Styela clava: one gene and its partner. The protein of the gene in region 1 purifies or fractionates together with the protein of each later gene. This does not show direct contact. Links are inferred from orthologs where the notes say so. Each region holds a gene or a part of one and is shown in the gene's direction. Other genes may lie near its edges. The genes, in order: polypeptide N-acetylgalactosaminyltransferase 16-like and zinc transporter ZIP11-like.

Region 1 (8,036 bases):
AGAACAACCTAGTCCTTGAATTTCTTGCTTGTTACCTTCTTTCTGTTTCGTTGTTGAAGTAGAAATATTTGAATTACAAATATTTCGTGTTACTAGTATATCCTGTTTCATTTTTATTTTTGTTATTTTGGGTTCCATAAAAAAACGAAAACGAGCACTGATCTAATCCTTCTAAGTAGACTACCGGTACCAAAGTCTTCCCGAATTTGCCTGACTACCTGATAGAAACGAATGTAGAACTGCCACTGGGTGCCATTTTTAATTTTGATGATTTCATTGCAGACAAAAGCACAAACCAAATAAAGTCCACAGAAATTTTTGAAAATAAATAAAAGTGATGGACTTCTAGCGAGAACAACAATCTTTAATTCATGAATATTTTAAAGCCATTGGTCAAGTATTTAAAGGGTAAAGCCATTATAACATAAAACAACATAAAAAAATACCAACAAGAAATCAAGAACATAACAAGGGGGCCACAGAGCTGTTGGACGTGGAGAGCAAATTGTCAAGTTGAAAGACTTTCTATTTGATAATATATATTTGCTAAACCTACCTAACTTGCCCTCTATGTATTTTCTCCTTTTTAATGAGATAAGTTCTGAAAATCTAGATCTGAAATGAAAATTAAGTTGAAAATAAAGACGAAAATTACAAACAAAATGTTTCATTTGTTTATTAGTTAATTCATAGAATAATAATCATTCTACAGAAAAAAATTTCGACAAAAAATGCCACTCAAAATTTTGTCAAACAAGAAAATATCAATAATTCATTTTTTTGTGATTTTAAAAAGACAATTACCTTGCAAGTTTATCCGAGGCATACACAATTTCAACCCTACTGGTTGCAGCCGCTTGTCTCAACAGATCAACAACTCTGGAATGCAATTACAATTTAAGAATTTTTGGGGCTCCCGAAGTATGCGAACCAAGATGGCGGACATCGGAATGTAATATGTGTACTAGGTTAGGGTTAGGACATAATTTTAGGTATAAATACTACGGGAGGCTCTTGGCTAGTCTTCGAACTGATAATAGGACCAAAATAAGGAAAATTGGAAAAAAATTATCGCCTAACTCTAACCTGTTACCCATGTTACGTTCCGATGTCCGCCATCTTGGTTCGCATACTTCGGGAGCACCGAATTTTTTTATGTGTTGTAATATTAATAGCTTGTAGCATGTCTACTCAAAATGCAAAAATTTCATAACAGAGTCAAGGATGATAAAGAGAGCAATGCTCAATTAAATGAACGCAAAAGTCAAATGACTATCACAATTTGAACAAAATTTTACCAAAATGTTTAATAAATAATCAAACAAACGTCATATAAAGATGGGAATCACGAAAAAACAGCAAAATTTGAAAAGAAAAATTGGTTGGAAAAAACAAAAAAAATAGCTAAATTTTCAATATTTTGGGTATTGAAGTTTGATATCGACAGGTTAATTACTGGTAGTTGCACACAGAAGTGATTTTTCATAAATCCAACAAGCATCCAAACAATAAAAAATAACAACAATTTAGCAAAACATCCATAGGTTCGATACAGAAGAAATACCGATCTTCAATCTCACAGTCCACTCCGTGTCCAATAAGCCAAGTGAAGAAGTCAAATGTCATCATTAATGTTAATTTTGTAGGCCCTAAGCAGGAAACCTGTTTGAGATCTTGGAGAAGAAACCTTTGTTTACCTGTAATTGCTCAATCCTGTCACATTACTGTCATTGATTTGGATTATTTCGTCACCAACTCTGATATTACCATGTTGTGAAACTGCTCCACCGTGGAGAACTTTTCTGACAAAGATACCAATATCTTCCCCATTATCCTTTTGAAGTCCACCAGTTATTTTAATACCAAGTCCAATTTTTGTATCACTTATAATTATTTTATGGAATTCTCTATTTTGTTCATTATTTTGAGTCATTTCGAGAATACATTTGAGTACTTATATTACCTGAAAATATAAAAACAGTTCAAAATAAAAAAATTCATAAAAGTATATAATCGTATGCTTATTCATGAAAAGGCTCTGATATATAAAAATAGAAATTTGGTTGGTCGTTTGCTTCAAACAAGGCTCTGCACAAGCAGCCACTACTAGGTAAGTAAATAGTAAATATAGCTTAGAAGGACCAGAATTTATATAGTACAGCATTGTCTACCAAATTTATTACGCTCTAGGTGAAATGACCAAGGAATGACAAAAAAATTGAGTAAAAAAAATTACCTCTTCTCAGATAAATCGGAATTATTCATTTTAATTTGTTTTCTCGTATCTGAAATTAAAATGTAGTAACTAGTAATCCTTTTTCACACAATTCTCATGGAGGTTTGCATATGAAATGGAAAAAAAATTTGGTATGGTGTTTCAGAAGTTTTTGATAAATCATATCAGTAGCACTATGATACAGTGAAAACCACAATTTGAAGAAAATTTAAAAAAGAAATTTTAGATAGATGATAATTTGATAAATAGGAGTATACAAGGCCATTAAAGCTGTATATTTCCAATCAGGAAAATTTTTACTAATCGAATGCTTTTTACCAATGAAAAGAAAACAGAGAATTTAATAGTTTTGCTGTAGAACTACCATTTAAAATCATTTTTTGTATAATCTGCTTTATGATAACTTTTGATAAAGAAACTAAAATGATATGAGTTCGAAATAGATATGCAATAGCAAGTCATTCCCATTGCAAATCAAAATTAATACATACAATCTGCTACCTCATAAATACAATACAATTAAAAAACTACTCAGTATTAATAAGTAAGATAACATTTTTGCATGCCAATTTCTTTGGAAAACAAATACACACGCAACAGGTATTACGACTATAACTTCAACTTATAGCTGAAGAATTGTGCAGTAACTTTTTGATGTTTAAGCTTCAGTTTTCCCTTTATACCCAACAATTTCATCCCATCCTTTACGACATTCCTTTACAATCCATTCATGCTCGTCATCATCGGCATTTCGTAGAAATTTTTGATTATAGTCAGTAACAATTCTTGTTGAAGGATTGTAAAAACCATCTCCACAATCATAATGGTTTTCTGGAATTCTTCTTGGGGGAATTCTGTTCGTAAGTTGTGAACGACCAGCGGGCTTCAATCCGTGGCATATTTCCGTATAAAATCTCCTATCATATCCATCACAATATTCCCAATCTTCCTCGCTATTATATTCTAATCCATCAGCAAAAGTGTATTTTCCAGATACGACTCGACCATTTTTCCATTCACCTTCATATTTACTCTTATTAGGAAAAAATAAAGTTCCTTTGCCATGAAAAGTACCATCCTTCAGATCTCCAACATATTGAGTTTCGGTGGGAAATTGATATTTTCCATGTCCCTCTAGCCTTCCATTATGCCAGTCCCCATCATATTGACTACCAGTGTATTCCATTTCATTAAGTCAGAATAAAATCAAAGATTTCTTGATGAATACAAAAACACAGGGGAATTTAAGCTGTGAATAAAATCTGAACAAATGATTATAATAAGTCACAAACAACACGTTTAAAAAAACTAAAACAGAAATGAACATTGGCAGATTGGATGAATAGCAGAAAGTTTTGTGAAGCTTGTTTAACTCAATAGTTCAGATAAATTCAGACATTAGAACAGCAGTATTCAAACATAGTTCAGCGACGCTTTAGGGTTCTGCCAGAGTGCCAGTACAGTCGAGATGTTCCACAAGTTTACATTCAAATACGATAGTCTACCGTGAATGAATATATGTATATTATTTAAATATAATAAAATTCCATTATTCTGGAGTAAACAATAAAACTGGACTCTACAACTGACCTCTAAATAGAGGTTTAATAAAAATTTATTGATATTATTACAAAAAGAATTTTTGTTGTGGAATGATCAATGGCAACATAAAATAATTCTTTATGCAAACATGAAACTGTAAAAAAGTATTTTGAAAAAAAATATGTCATATAGGTCTGTTTAAAATAATCTCAAGTGTTACTATACTTTTTGTACTTTTGTTGAATTGCATTGTTCGTTGTAATTGTTACCATTTTCAGACTTGGTCAGCTAATTAAAAGACTCCACATACATTTATGAAGGTGTTGATTATGAAAAAAAAAATTTAATTCCTAAATATACGATTTGAAGTATATTTCAAGTTGATATTTTTATAGTTAACTTATATATTTGAAACATAAAAGTATATAGTCAGTGAACTTGTGAATGTTTATTTGACTGTAAGATCAGAAGATGTTGAATTTGACATAATTTTAATGGCTCTACCTCAGTACGGTAGCATTTGGCAACTACTGAACTAAGTTACGCTATGTCATCTGATTTATGAAAAGGGATCTCCTAATAATAAGGTCAAACTTCGTCATTTTTAATTTGTTTGTATTGTCATATTTTAAAGTTTTCAAAATAAACTATCTATCTATACAAAAATCCACCCCAAATTATTTTTCTATTATCTGATGCTGAATATCTTATTACACCTAGAGTAGATAAAAAAAAAAAAGAACAGAGCTGCATGACATAAATTATGAATAACTTATATACACCTAACCCTGACCAGAAAACAGTTGTTGTCATTAGCGACAACGCGAACTCTGCATGGCTCCGCAGCGGCAGCTACCGTGTACAGGAGAGATAGCGAAAATATTGAAACATTCTCCCTTTCTCTCTCTATATATATATATATATATATATATTTATACATAAAGAGAGAGAGAACGAAATACTGTGAAATGTTGGAGGAATATACTACAGTGTGTTCTGATTCTATTTTATTGAACGACTAACATACCGGTTTCCAGTGAATTGTGCTATAATATATGTCGCCAGACACACGCGGCGGTGATCTTGCTGCATTCACAAGTCAATTTTTTCATGTGGTTGCAGGTGTCGCGAAAATTAATTGGCGACGTTATGAACTTTGCCGTCGGCGTTGTCTGGTGATGATTTATAGCGACGACATCAAATACAGAAATAGAACGACTGGTTTAAGAATTGTACTTTAACGTAGAGTAAACATAGATTTTTAACATCGTGGAATTGCAATATTGGAAAATTCTGAAATGACTTGATGATGCAATATCGGATTTGGGAACTGCAAACATGAAGCCCTTCTCTTTGCGAACTTTTAAAATAGGCATAGTCGTTGCTCTCTTTTGTTGGACAATAATTAGTTGTTTTTCTTGGACAAAAAGGGGAAAATTCTTTGCTAAGAGTGAGGTTTGTACACATTTTATCATTGCAGATGACTCAAAATACGTGAAAAGTATTGTAGACCTGATGACGGTGCGATCCGTCCGTCACGACTCCTGTCGTTTCTATATTCAGATATTATTCAGAAACTTTAATGTTGGATCTTTTTGACTGCTGAAGTGATAAATAAAATAACTCTGACTACTACAGCACTAGATTATTGCAGTATTGTATAATTTACATTAATGTTTGCTACAATGTTTATCAGCGGCTAATTAAATTCTATATTTATGACCACTACTATCCAGACTATCTGACTATTGGGAAAAATTTTATGATTTGCAAAAATGACACTGTCTTTCTGTAGCCTGATATTCCCCTTAATACTGAAAAACAATAATAAAATTGCTGCAGTATAGTGAGATAGTAGTAACAAGATTCTGAGATTGGTTTTGCCAATGAAAGCAAATGTCAGCATTAGGGCTGTAGGGTCAGCAAAGAATTATGTGCAATGTAATTAAATTGATACAATAAATTTCATAATTTTATATAGTTTTGATGCCGATGTCCTTACTTCCCAATTTCTGACATAATTAGTTCAATATTGTTGTTATTCCAGGAAAAAGTAAAGTTGAATACAGAATTCAATTTTGAAAGATACATTGCCCAGCAAAAATTTAAATCAGAAGATCCTTATATAAGAAATTCATTTAATCAAAAACGAAGTGATGAAATACGCACAGATAGAGATTTACCTGATTCACGGAATCGACAGTAAGCATTACTTTTTTATACATTGGTAGTTTTAACTGCATTGCCTAGGCTTTATTATTGGAAAAGAGGTAATATTGTTTGCGGATGTTAATTAACATAACATTTTTTGATAAGTACCAAGTTTAAACTTTGCGTATATTCCATTGTTTAGAAATTTTCATTTCTTCATTTTTATTTTTTTCTATTTTATGGCAGCAAACAAATTGTCTCTGAATATCCCCCGACCCCCAACCATTTTTGTTTTAATGAATTTTTTCACATAAATCTCGTTTTTTCCTGGCATCACCAGCTATTGTTTCACATTCGTTTTTCTGCATGTTTTTAAATTATCAATATATTTAGGCTTGACTTTTTCATGTTTTATTCGATTTTGGAACGATGAAGCATTTTGCTATAAGGTGACCTATTTAAGCCTCCGCTGAACTTAAACTTGAGTTTGAATACTTATTGAAATAACCACTAGTTATAAGGTACAATAGTATTATAATTCTCCTAATTTTAAATCAATTAATAAATGGAGTCGAAAGAATGAAAAAAAAATTCAAAAACTTATAACAAGTTTGACAATGCATTTACTCTGTTGTAATTGAATGTACTTGCATTGTATAAAAACACTTCGACACAAAGTCTGTATTTTACTCTAGATGTCTCAACCACCAATATAACCTCAAAATACTTCAGAAAAAGAAAACTTCGGTTATAATCACTTTTCACAATGAAGCGAGATCTACTCTTCTGAGAACTGTGGTTAGGTATGGTGTATTTACATTTTTGAAAGAAATTATCATTCTTTTATTAACTTTAACCACCCAAAGCCTAATGAGGTTAAGTTAAATAAAAACCTTCCAAAAATTCAGTCAATTTGTCATTTTGGTTCTTGAGAAGTCATATTTAACATTAATATTTTCATACAAATTGAATCAATTTAGTGGTAATAATTATTTTTTGAATCTCTGTTACGCATCGCATAAATAAAATGGAGACTCTGAAAAAGCGAGCAAAACTTCTATCAAAGTCTCATAAAATTTTGTGAGGTAGATTACGCTAACTTAGCTGAAAATTCTATAAATTATTGTTGATAACTTGATATTACAATATCATAAATTTTACTTTTTGATCTTTTTAATTGTTCACAAATAAGTCTTTTTGTGCCATTTATCAAATGTAAATATCACACGCAAATAAATAATCCTATTTTACAGTTGATATGAGGTTTGCAATTTGCTTTTTTTGGGCCCATTTGGCAAATATTTTCATTCAATTACGAAATTATTCCTTTATTGACAATAACATTGTTTTTTAGTGTACTAACAAGAAGTCCGGAAGAACTAATAAAAGAAGTTATATTGGTTGATGATTTCAGTGATGATCGTGAGTGTTATCTTTTTATTATTTTTTCGGAGGGCGTATACTCTTAGAAGAAAAAGTTAAAATTTATTTTGTTTTTTTTCTTGTTAAACTTTTAATAATTATAACTTCACATGAATGTAATTTTTTATTTGTCTTCCATATTCGATGGGTATTTTCTAAATCTATGTATGGTCTTGTCTACTTCTACGAAATATAAATATCATACATGATAATATGTTTAGTGCGGGGTGGTCATAAATTCCTATTACAATTTATAATTTCATTATGAAGTCAATTCCCAATATTTCTCAACCGGCTTTGTTACTTATCGATTTTAATCGGTAAGTATGTTGATAGGTATTTGTCTGTCTGTCTGTCTGTTAGATGCACGCGATATCTCACGAAAGCGAGATTGAATCTGCTCCAAATTTTGCATGTGCATTCATCATATGTCGGACCAGAAGCCTATTGATTTTGGATGAATTATGTCGTATAATTAGCGAGTTATTAATTAATTAGTGATGGGACACAAGGTGTCACTATGGAGTAAGAGCGCTTTTTTGGGGGATCCCCCAGGGATGGCCAATACCGAATAGTTCACTATTTCGAATACATTCGAAATTATTATTTTCGAATATGAAATTTCGAATACTTCGAAATTAAAATCCAGTAATAGAATCTAAGTGTATGAAGGAATTTTTATACA
Region 2 (7,932 bases), on another chromosome or scaffold:
TGACTTTGAATATTGACAAAACTGTTAAACCAATTGCTCAACCTCTGCGCCGTATACCATATGCGTTGCGAGACAAAGTAGATGCAAAAATAGATGAAATGCTGAAAGCAGACATAATCGAAAAAGCGCCTGAAGGTCCAAGTACCCGGATTTCGCCTTTAACTGTAGATCATAAAAAGGATGGAGATATTAGAATTTGTGTTGACATGCGCCGAGCTAACCAAGCCATACTCCGTGAAAGGCAACCTATACCGACTGTTGAAGACTTACTCCACGACTTGAGCGGACGTGCCGTATTTTCGAAGTTAGATCTGAAATGGGGGTTTCATCAAATATTGCTTGATGAGAAATGCCGATATATCACAACGTTCGTAACTAATAATGGAATTTTTAGATACAAAAGACTAATGTTTGGTTTATCATCTGCACCAGAAAAGTATCAGCAAATAATCAGAGACGTTGTGAGGAACTGTCGGGGTGTCGCAAACATAGCGGACGATATCATTATCCATGGGCGGAATGTGAAGGAACATGATGAAAGATTATTTGATGTTCTTGATAAGTTGGACAAAGCCGGTCTAACGCTGAATGGTATGAAATGTCAATTTCGACTTCCTGTGATCAAGTTATTTGGTCATAAGCTCACAAGTCAAGGTATTGATCCTTGTGAGGAAAAGGTGGCGGCAGTAAGAAATGCACGACGACCAAAAGATACCAGAGAAGTGAAATCTTTTATGGGTCTTGTTCAATATTGTGCAAAGTTTATACCAAACCTTTCTTCGATTGCAGCGCCTTTACGTGCATTGACTCAGAAAAATTCTAAATTTGATTGGGATAAGCAATGTTAAAATTCATTCGAAAGATTGAAACGTTCATTAACTAATGCAAACACATTAGCTTATTTCAGATCTGACTGCAGGACAAGAATAATTGCAGATGCTTCACCGACAGGACTAGGATCCGCTTTAACCCAATTGCAAGACGGAATTTGGAGAGTAATTTCGTATGCTTCGAGGACAATGTCAGACGTAGAAAGACGATATAGCCAGACGGAAAAAGAAGCATTAGCTCTAGTGTGGGCATGTGAGAGATTTAACTTGTATATTTTTGGCAGGAAATTTGAACTTGAAACCGATCACAAACCTTTGGAATGCATATACTCTAAAACTTCAAAGCCCTCAGCAAGGATTGAACGATGGGTATTGCGATTGCAAGCGTATGACTTCAAGGTAATATACCGACCGGGTAAGAATAATATTGCTGATGTATTATCTCGTCTTAATGCGCCTGACCAGCGTGATACAACAGCGGAATATGATTTCTTCAAACGAATGGTTGTACAAAGTAGTTGCCCGATTGCTTTGACGCCACATGAAATTGAGCAGGCATCTGCTAAAGACCCTGAATTGCAAATTGTGAGAGATTGCATTAAATCACAGAATTGGTCAAAGTGTGGTAATTCATTTTTGCATGTGAAGAATGAACTTTGTATTTATGGTCAATTAATTTTACGTGGTACGAGAATTGTAATTCCACAGATACTCAGAAAACGTGTTCTAGAGCTTGCACATGAAGGACACCAAGGAATTGTGAAGACGAAAAATCGACTTCGAAGTAAAGTGTGGTGGCCAAACATTGATCGTGATGCTGAACGAAAATGTAAAGTATGTCATGGATGTCAGGTAACAAGTTCGTATAGTCCGCCCGAACCAATGACGCGAACACGACCACCCAGTGGACCTTGGATAGATTGTTGTGCCGATGTTTTAGGACCTTTGCCTTCTGGTGATAACATACTGGTAATTGTAGATTACTACAGTCGTTTTTATGAAATTGTAATTGTGCGGTCGACAACAAGTAAGAAAATAATTGAAGCGTTGAGCACCATATTTTCACGTTACGGAATTCCACTTACGTTAAGAACTGACAATGCACCACAGCTTGTATCTAATGAATTCAAATCATTTTTAGACGAACATGGAGTTCAACATAAATCTACTACTCCATTGTGGCCACAAGCGAACGGCGAGGTGGAGAGACAAAACCGAAGTTTAATGAAAGCCATACGAATAGCCCAAGTAGAAGGTAAAGATTGGAAATCGGAATTAAACAAATTTCTGCTTGCATACAGGTCTACACCGCATACAACGACAGGAGTATCGCCATATTATTTGATGTTTGGTCGAAAGATGAGAACAAAGCTTCCAGAAATCAGACCAAAATACAACATAATCGGCGAAGAACACAGAGACAGAGACTGGAGAAACAAGCTACAAGGGAAATTTTACTCAGATTACAACAGAAGATCAATTTTACAAGATGTTGAGGTCGGAGATTCGGTGCTCGTTAAGCAAGAGAAAGTTGACAAGATGTCGACAAACTTCAATAAATATCCGTGTGAAATTGTCAAGAAGGAAGGAGGGGAAGTCACAGTCAGAGATGAAAAGGGAAAAGAATTTCGTCGCAATTCAACATTTGTAAAGAAATACGAAGAAGACACCCAAAATAAAATTGACAATAATGCCAAAGAGTCGCGAATTGCTCCAGACGCGACCAGGCCAAGTTTGGAGGAACCAATTACTCAGCCTTATGAGCGTCCAAGGCGAACGAAAACTGCCTTCCAGATTTAAAGACTTTGTAATGAAATAAGTCTACCATCTACTCGTAACAAAAGGAGGGATGTAGTGTTCATGGTCCGATGGTCATGAATTGCATGATTGATTTAGTCCTGCGATATAAATGCGCAAGGATACATGCCAAGGGGAGCAGAAGGACATTGACGGCGTGGCTGGTGCTGGTTCTATTGTATGGTGTTATTCGCTGTTTATTAAGTTGTATCAGTTACTTTTGTGCATACTGAATTGTAGCAGTAAAAGCCTCTTATTGTGTGTGCAAATATCGTGTGTTGCCTTGGGGAAAGCTTAGCAAGATAGATAACATTGAAGATAGAGGCGGGACACTACAATGGGAAATAATCAGATTGGCATTGCAACCCTTCACAAATAATTTAGAAATAGACAAATATGACTGAGTTGAAGGAGATATGTGATATTAAATAAATTTTGACAAGGCTGGGTCAAATTAAATCACGATAGCCCAAAATATATTTCGTCTTGTAGTAATTTATTGCTTACACGAGGTTTAAACTATTAGAGATTCTGAACAATCAGCAAATTTGTCTATATCACTATTGCACATTAATTAATTTGCAGTACATTAAGTACGTACATTAATTGATTTGCAGTACGTTTGCGCGGAAGTCAAACAAAATTTGTATTTTTAAAAACTATACCCACCAGTTTACATGCTCTAACTCTCTGAAACACTTCGAAATTTTTGTGAAAATATTTAAAGGAAGAATTCTTGAAGGGTCAAGGGTCGGGGAAACGTTCATCGCCAAGCATGCATGAGTTGTTATGACGTCATGTCTCAACAAAAATCTACGTATTCGGAATTCGGATTCGCTGTGGGTAGCCGAAGTTCTCAAGTCGGCGAGCTGTCAAATGAGTTATTTTTTTTTTCATTGTATTTCTATTGCAACGTGTACGGTATTAGTTGTGGTTTGCATTTCCGCTGCTGTAGGTACGTGTCGGTTTCGTCGAGTTACACAACACGTTTTCCGGCGATTGGTTGGCAGAACTTCACATTATAACTGCCTGGTATACGGTACAGTCAGAGAAGTACCGGTACCGGTACGGTATACAAGCTTGTGTTGTTGTGTACCGGTACGACATGTTACCGCTGCATTACGGTACTGGTATTACAGTATTAGGATACGGTATTCAGCCTATGTCATAAAGCCAAGTGTTCTATATTATTTCCCAAAAGTTTTTGCAATTAGGCTCAATGCTGCAATGCAGGGATAAGATAGATAGATAGTTTATTTCGAAAACTCCATAACAAACCTAAATTTAAAATGGAGAATTCTGGAGGGCAAGCAAAACCTACAAGAAAGTTTAAAACATGAGGTATCTCATGTGCCTGCCCACCAGCACGCACACAAAAACACAAGCCCAATTAAATGAGGCTTGGGCCAAACTTAAAAAACAAAATACACGATAGTAATAAACTTTCGGGCTGTTGTACTCTCTTTCAACAATTACGTTGATAATGACCAATACCTACAACCTCATGCAAAGATAATGTGGGGAGTGGAATGTAATAAATTTGCGACGATAGTCATACTCATGAAGCCAGGAAAGCTTTAAGAAAAACCAAGCCATGAAAAACTACACTGATTGCTAGATTGGGCATTGCGGAAAAGGTGATAAGTGGTTTAATATACAAACAAACGCAAAACCATGGCGGCAAATTCGGTGTGCGGACACTCGTAAAAGCAATTATTAGGAAAAACACTAATCACACGTGAGCAGGTATGTAGCCTAATTGATACATTGACGTGGCCAACATTGTTAAAACAGTACCGGTATACACACAGAGAGAACAAATCAAAAATATGCCACTAAATGAATGTTTAAAAATGTTACACTGTAAGTTACACTGCAAACTATTTACACATATATAGTTGAATACTCAGTATTTCATCTTTCGATTCTGTTATGATGTCCGTATGTTGCCTTTATGCTGCCATGTAATTTCATATTTCGGCCTTTACTTGTTGATATTCCTTAAGTGCTGGTTCATTGTTGTCAATCTAATCTTTCTGCGCCGTTCAAAAATGCGACCGCAGCCGACGACTGCCAAACACAAACTTTAAATCCAATCTTTTATCCATAAACTTCTTTAATTCCGGTGGATGGGCCTTGATCATGTTGATATCACGAGATACAAATCTAATAGTCTAATAGTAATAAATATGTAAATCCTATCCTACATCCAGACATCACAGCGCTAACTTACATCTGGACACTTTTTACCAGTGAGCTTATATTTAGCATAGTCAAACAATGATTTCATCTTATGGACCTGTCCAGCAAGCTCTACTCGGAACTTTGTTTACATGGGGATTGACTGCAGCTGGTGCTAGTCTTGTATTTGTATTCAAATCTGGAAAAGTAAGTTTAAAGATTTTTTTTTCAATATTCTGAATCATAAGCTGTAGAGTACGGTAGACTACCGGTACTATTTGTTTTCTGTTTACTCCATTCAGGTCCAGAAATTCAACTGGAAAACTAATCTAAGGCACAAGTCCTGATGCGATATGATGTTTGCTGCCCATAATAATACTTGTAGTTCAGTAGTTGGTACCATTATCTTCATAAATTATAATGACAAAAGTTTTCATCTATGTCTATGGGAAGCAATTCAGAATTGATTGCCTGAAAAGATCTTTTTAATTTTTATACTAACTGAATCTATTCTATTTTTAGCGGAAAGTTTTAGATGGAAGCCTTGGATTTGCTGCTGGGGTAAGGTTTTAAATTATTGTTGTTTGCAGAAGAAAACTTATTTTTACAATATATTCAAAATTAATTTTAGTCTAATTCTACCTCTTACACAATGACTGAATGAGGTTGGGTGCAACTCCCAAAACTCGGGTGTTACAACTCAATTTCACCCCCATAAATAGCTTTCATCTTTTTATTATCTGATTTTTGTAATGCTCACAGATATTTTGACTTTTATTCTTTATCAGGTAATGATTGCGGCATCATACTGGTCATTACTTGCTCCTGCAATTGAAATGGCAGTATTATCTGGTAATTATGGAAAAGAAGGCGAATATGCTTTTATCCCTGTGGCGGTTGGATTTGCTGCTGGTGCACTATTTGTCTATGCTGCGGATATTTTAATGCCTTTCTTGGTAAGTATTAACATGTTTTAGATTATTAAGCTTACTGAAAGTGTAGCTGAACAATTTCTTTAAAATTAGGGAATGCTGAGTGAAGATATCAATAAAAAATTTAAAAGGTTCTGCGATTGATGCATCATGTTGAATGTGAGGAATAATTATGTGCTAAAGCAGTGGTTTCCAAAGTGGGGTCCGCGAAGCACTTTCGGAGGGCCTGCGACAGAAACATGTTATATAGCTTGATAACACAAAAATTCAGTGCTTAAATTTGCAAATACACATTTGACGCCCTTTGCTGCTTCGCAATCACTGCTGGAGACACTGATTCATCACTTACTGTTTCGATTGTGCTGCCCCATTGTGTTGTCACAGAGCTGTGTGACTGTAATATCACGAAGAGAGTTCAATTGCTGCCTATACAAGTTAACTAACTGCAGAGGTGTAGCTGACACTGCCTTTTTGTATGTTTGTTGGTATAGGAGGCAGTTTATGAAGTTATGCTTGTTTACAACGAAACAAGTGCACCATCATATACTTTTGTTCGTTTTAATGTTTTTCACCATACCGCGCATTGATTTTTTAATGTATTGTTTTAGTGCACAAGGCCGGGAATCAGTGTTAACTCTAAGCAAATTATGAGTGCGAAAGTGCTTCGCAGTCGAAAAAAAAAGTGCGAAAGTGCTTTTGCCGATTTTAACAAGTTAGGTGCCCTTAGCCTTTCATATAACCCATTTAAAACGGCATAGATACTCGAAAAAGCACTCCTCCGGTTAATATTATGAATTAAAGAGAAGCCTTTCCGTTAACTGAGTTCCCTTTAAGCGAATTCATGTTTAATTAAAACAAGCAAATTCATCGGCAACGAAAGGACATCTGCTAACACCTGCCGCGGAAAAAACTTTCATGCAATGTATCACGGTGTCAGTTGCTTACTCGCGTGAACAGCAAAGGCCTTCACATTTGTTACTCCTTCCATCTAACAGACACGAGGCAGGCTGGAAACCATATTAGTTACAGGGTAGATCCTTTGTACAAATCCCGTGCACAATAATCCCCCCCCAAATATAAATATCAATCAATATCAAGGGTTAGGTGCGCTGGAAATTCAACTTTTCGATTTATCCCTAAACCCAATCTGATAATTATTAATTTGTGATTTTGAACCACTTTGAAAGTCGCCACCCGCTGTTTTGAAAGATAGGTTAACCTATGTTCCCTCCGAAATATTACGCAGGATACTTCCCTGTTTTAGGAGATAGGTTGACCTACTTTCCTTTCAAACTTTTTTCTCCGAAATATTACACAAGATCACTTTGAAAATCCTCCCGTTTCGTGAGCTAGCGTGACCTAATTTCTCATTTACATTTATATTATACTATTTCAGAGCTTACCCAAAGACAAGTAATTTTTAAATGTCGACATGCCTTGGTTTGGGTGCGAGTTAGTTTAAATCGGGCAGAAAACATCATATATTGGCAAAATGTTTAGTAATGCCATGTACTTTCAGCATTCATAAATAACACTCTTTGTAATGCTGCTGACCTAGTATCAAATATTCGCATCACAACGCCACTTGCGAGATTTCCATATATTTCAATTAGTAATTACACTAATAGGAACGATGACACCAAAGAGTTTTCTTTTGCGGAGGTACACTAAATATAACGAGGGTGATTCTTGAAAAAAACGTGAATATAAAAAATAAGAATGATATGATAGTGGATCCCAAATAATTTTGAGAGTGTCTCTAAATACCAATCCATTTGATAAATAATTTTTATTCGACCACATGAACGCTGATATCCTGAAAATTAATGTTGAAAGAGAAGTACGCATTCTCAGATATCGGACATCCAGTCGCGATATTCAATCGTTCATATGCACCAATCTCACATTAATAGTAATTGCTACCCAAGTTTGTAAAGTTTAGAAACCAACAAACAGAAAATAACTTATCCTAAAACACAATTGAAATTCAGTCGGCAATAAATTCGTCGCCAAGACGATGCCATACAAAAAAGATTTGGTCGCGAGAGTTACGTTAGCTGACTGCAAAACGACGTTGTTTTTTGAGCAGAATGTAAAAAAAATTATAATTAATAAACGGGAGTTACGACGCCCTTAACACATTGTGTGTATTAAACCTGTTGGAGTATTTGGACAATTTCGAATTTAAAATA

Evidence for each region.
Region 2: the proteins of polypeptide N-acetylgalactosaminyltransferase 16-like (region 1) and zinc transporter ZIP11-like purify together in Homo sapiens (co-immunoprecipitation; 3 studies listed by BioGRID and IntAct, counting the BioPlex papers as one, with this or other methods). This does not show direct contact. The link is inferred for Styela clava from reciprocal best matches to the Homo sapiens genes GALNT16 and SLC39A11.

The regions. Positions count from the first base shown.
Region 1 is NC_135261.1:13,698,036-13,706,071, forward strand, and holds the start of polypeptide N-acetylgalactosaminyltransferase 16-like, read left to right. Parts: upstream 1-4,852; 5' UTR 4,853-5,116; coding exon 5,117-5,233; intron 5,234-5,825; coding exon 5,826-5,980; intron 5,981-6,624; coding exon 6,625-6,732; intron 6,733-7,283; coding exon 7,284-7,351; intron 7,352-8,036. Other genes in the region: syntaxin-binding protein 4-like, read right to left, coding at 557-615, 805-879, 1,698-1,933; MORN repeat-containing protein 5-like, read right to left, coding at 2,895-3,422. UniProt on the Homo sapiens protein: Catalyzes the initial reaction in O-linked oligosaccharide biosynthesis, the transfer of an N-acetyl-D-galactosamine residue to a serine or threonine residue on the protein receptor.
Region 2 is NC_135255.1:10,457,297-10,465,228, forward strand, and holds the start of zinc transporter ZIP11-like, read left to right. Parts: upstream 1-4,817; 5' UTR 4,818-4,907; coding exon 4,908-5,015; intron 5,016-5,330; coding exon 5,331-5,369; intron 5,370-5,596; coding exon 5,597-5,764; intron 5,765-7,932. UniProt on the Homo sapiens protein: Zinc importer that regulates cytosolic zinc concentrations either via zinc influx from the extracellular compartment or efflux from intracellular organelles such as Golgi apparatus. May transport copper ions as well.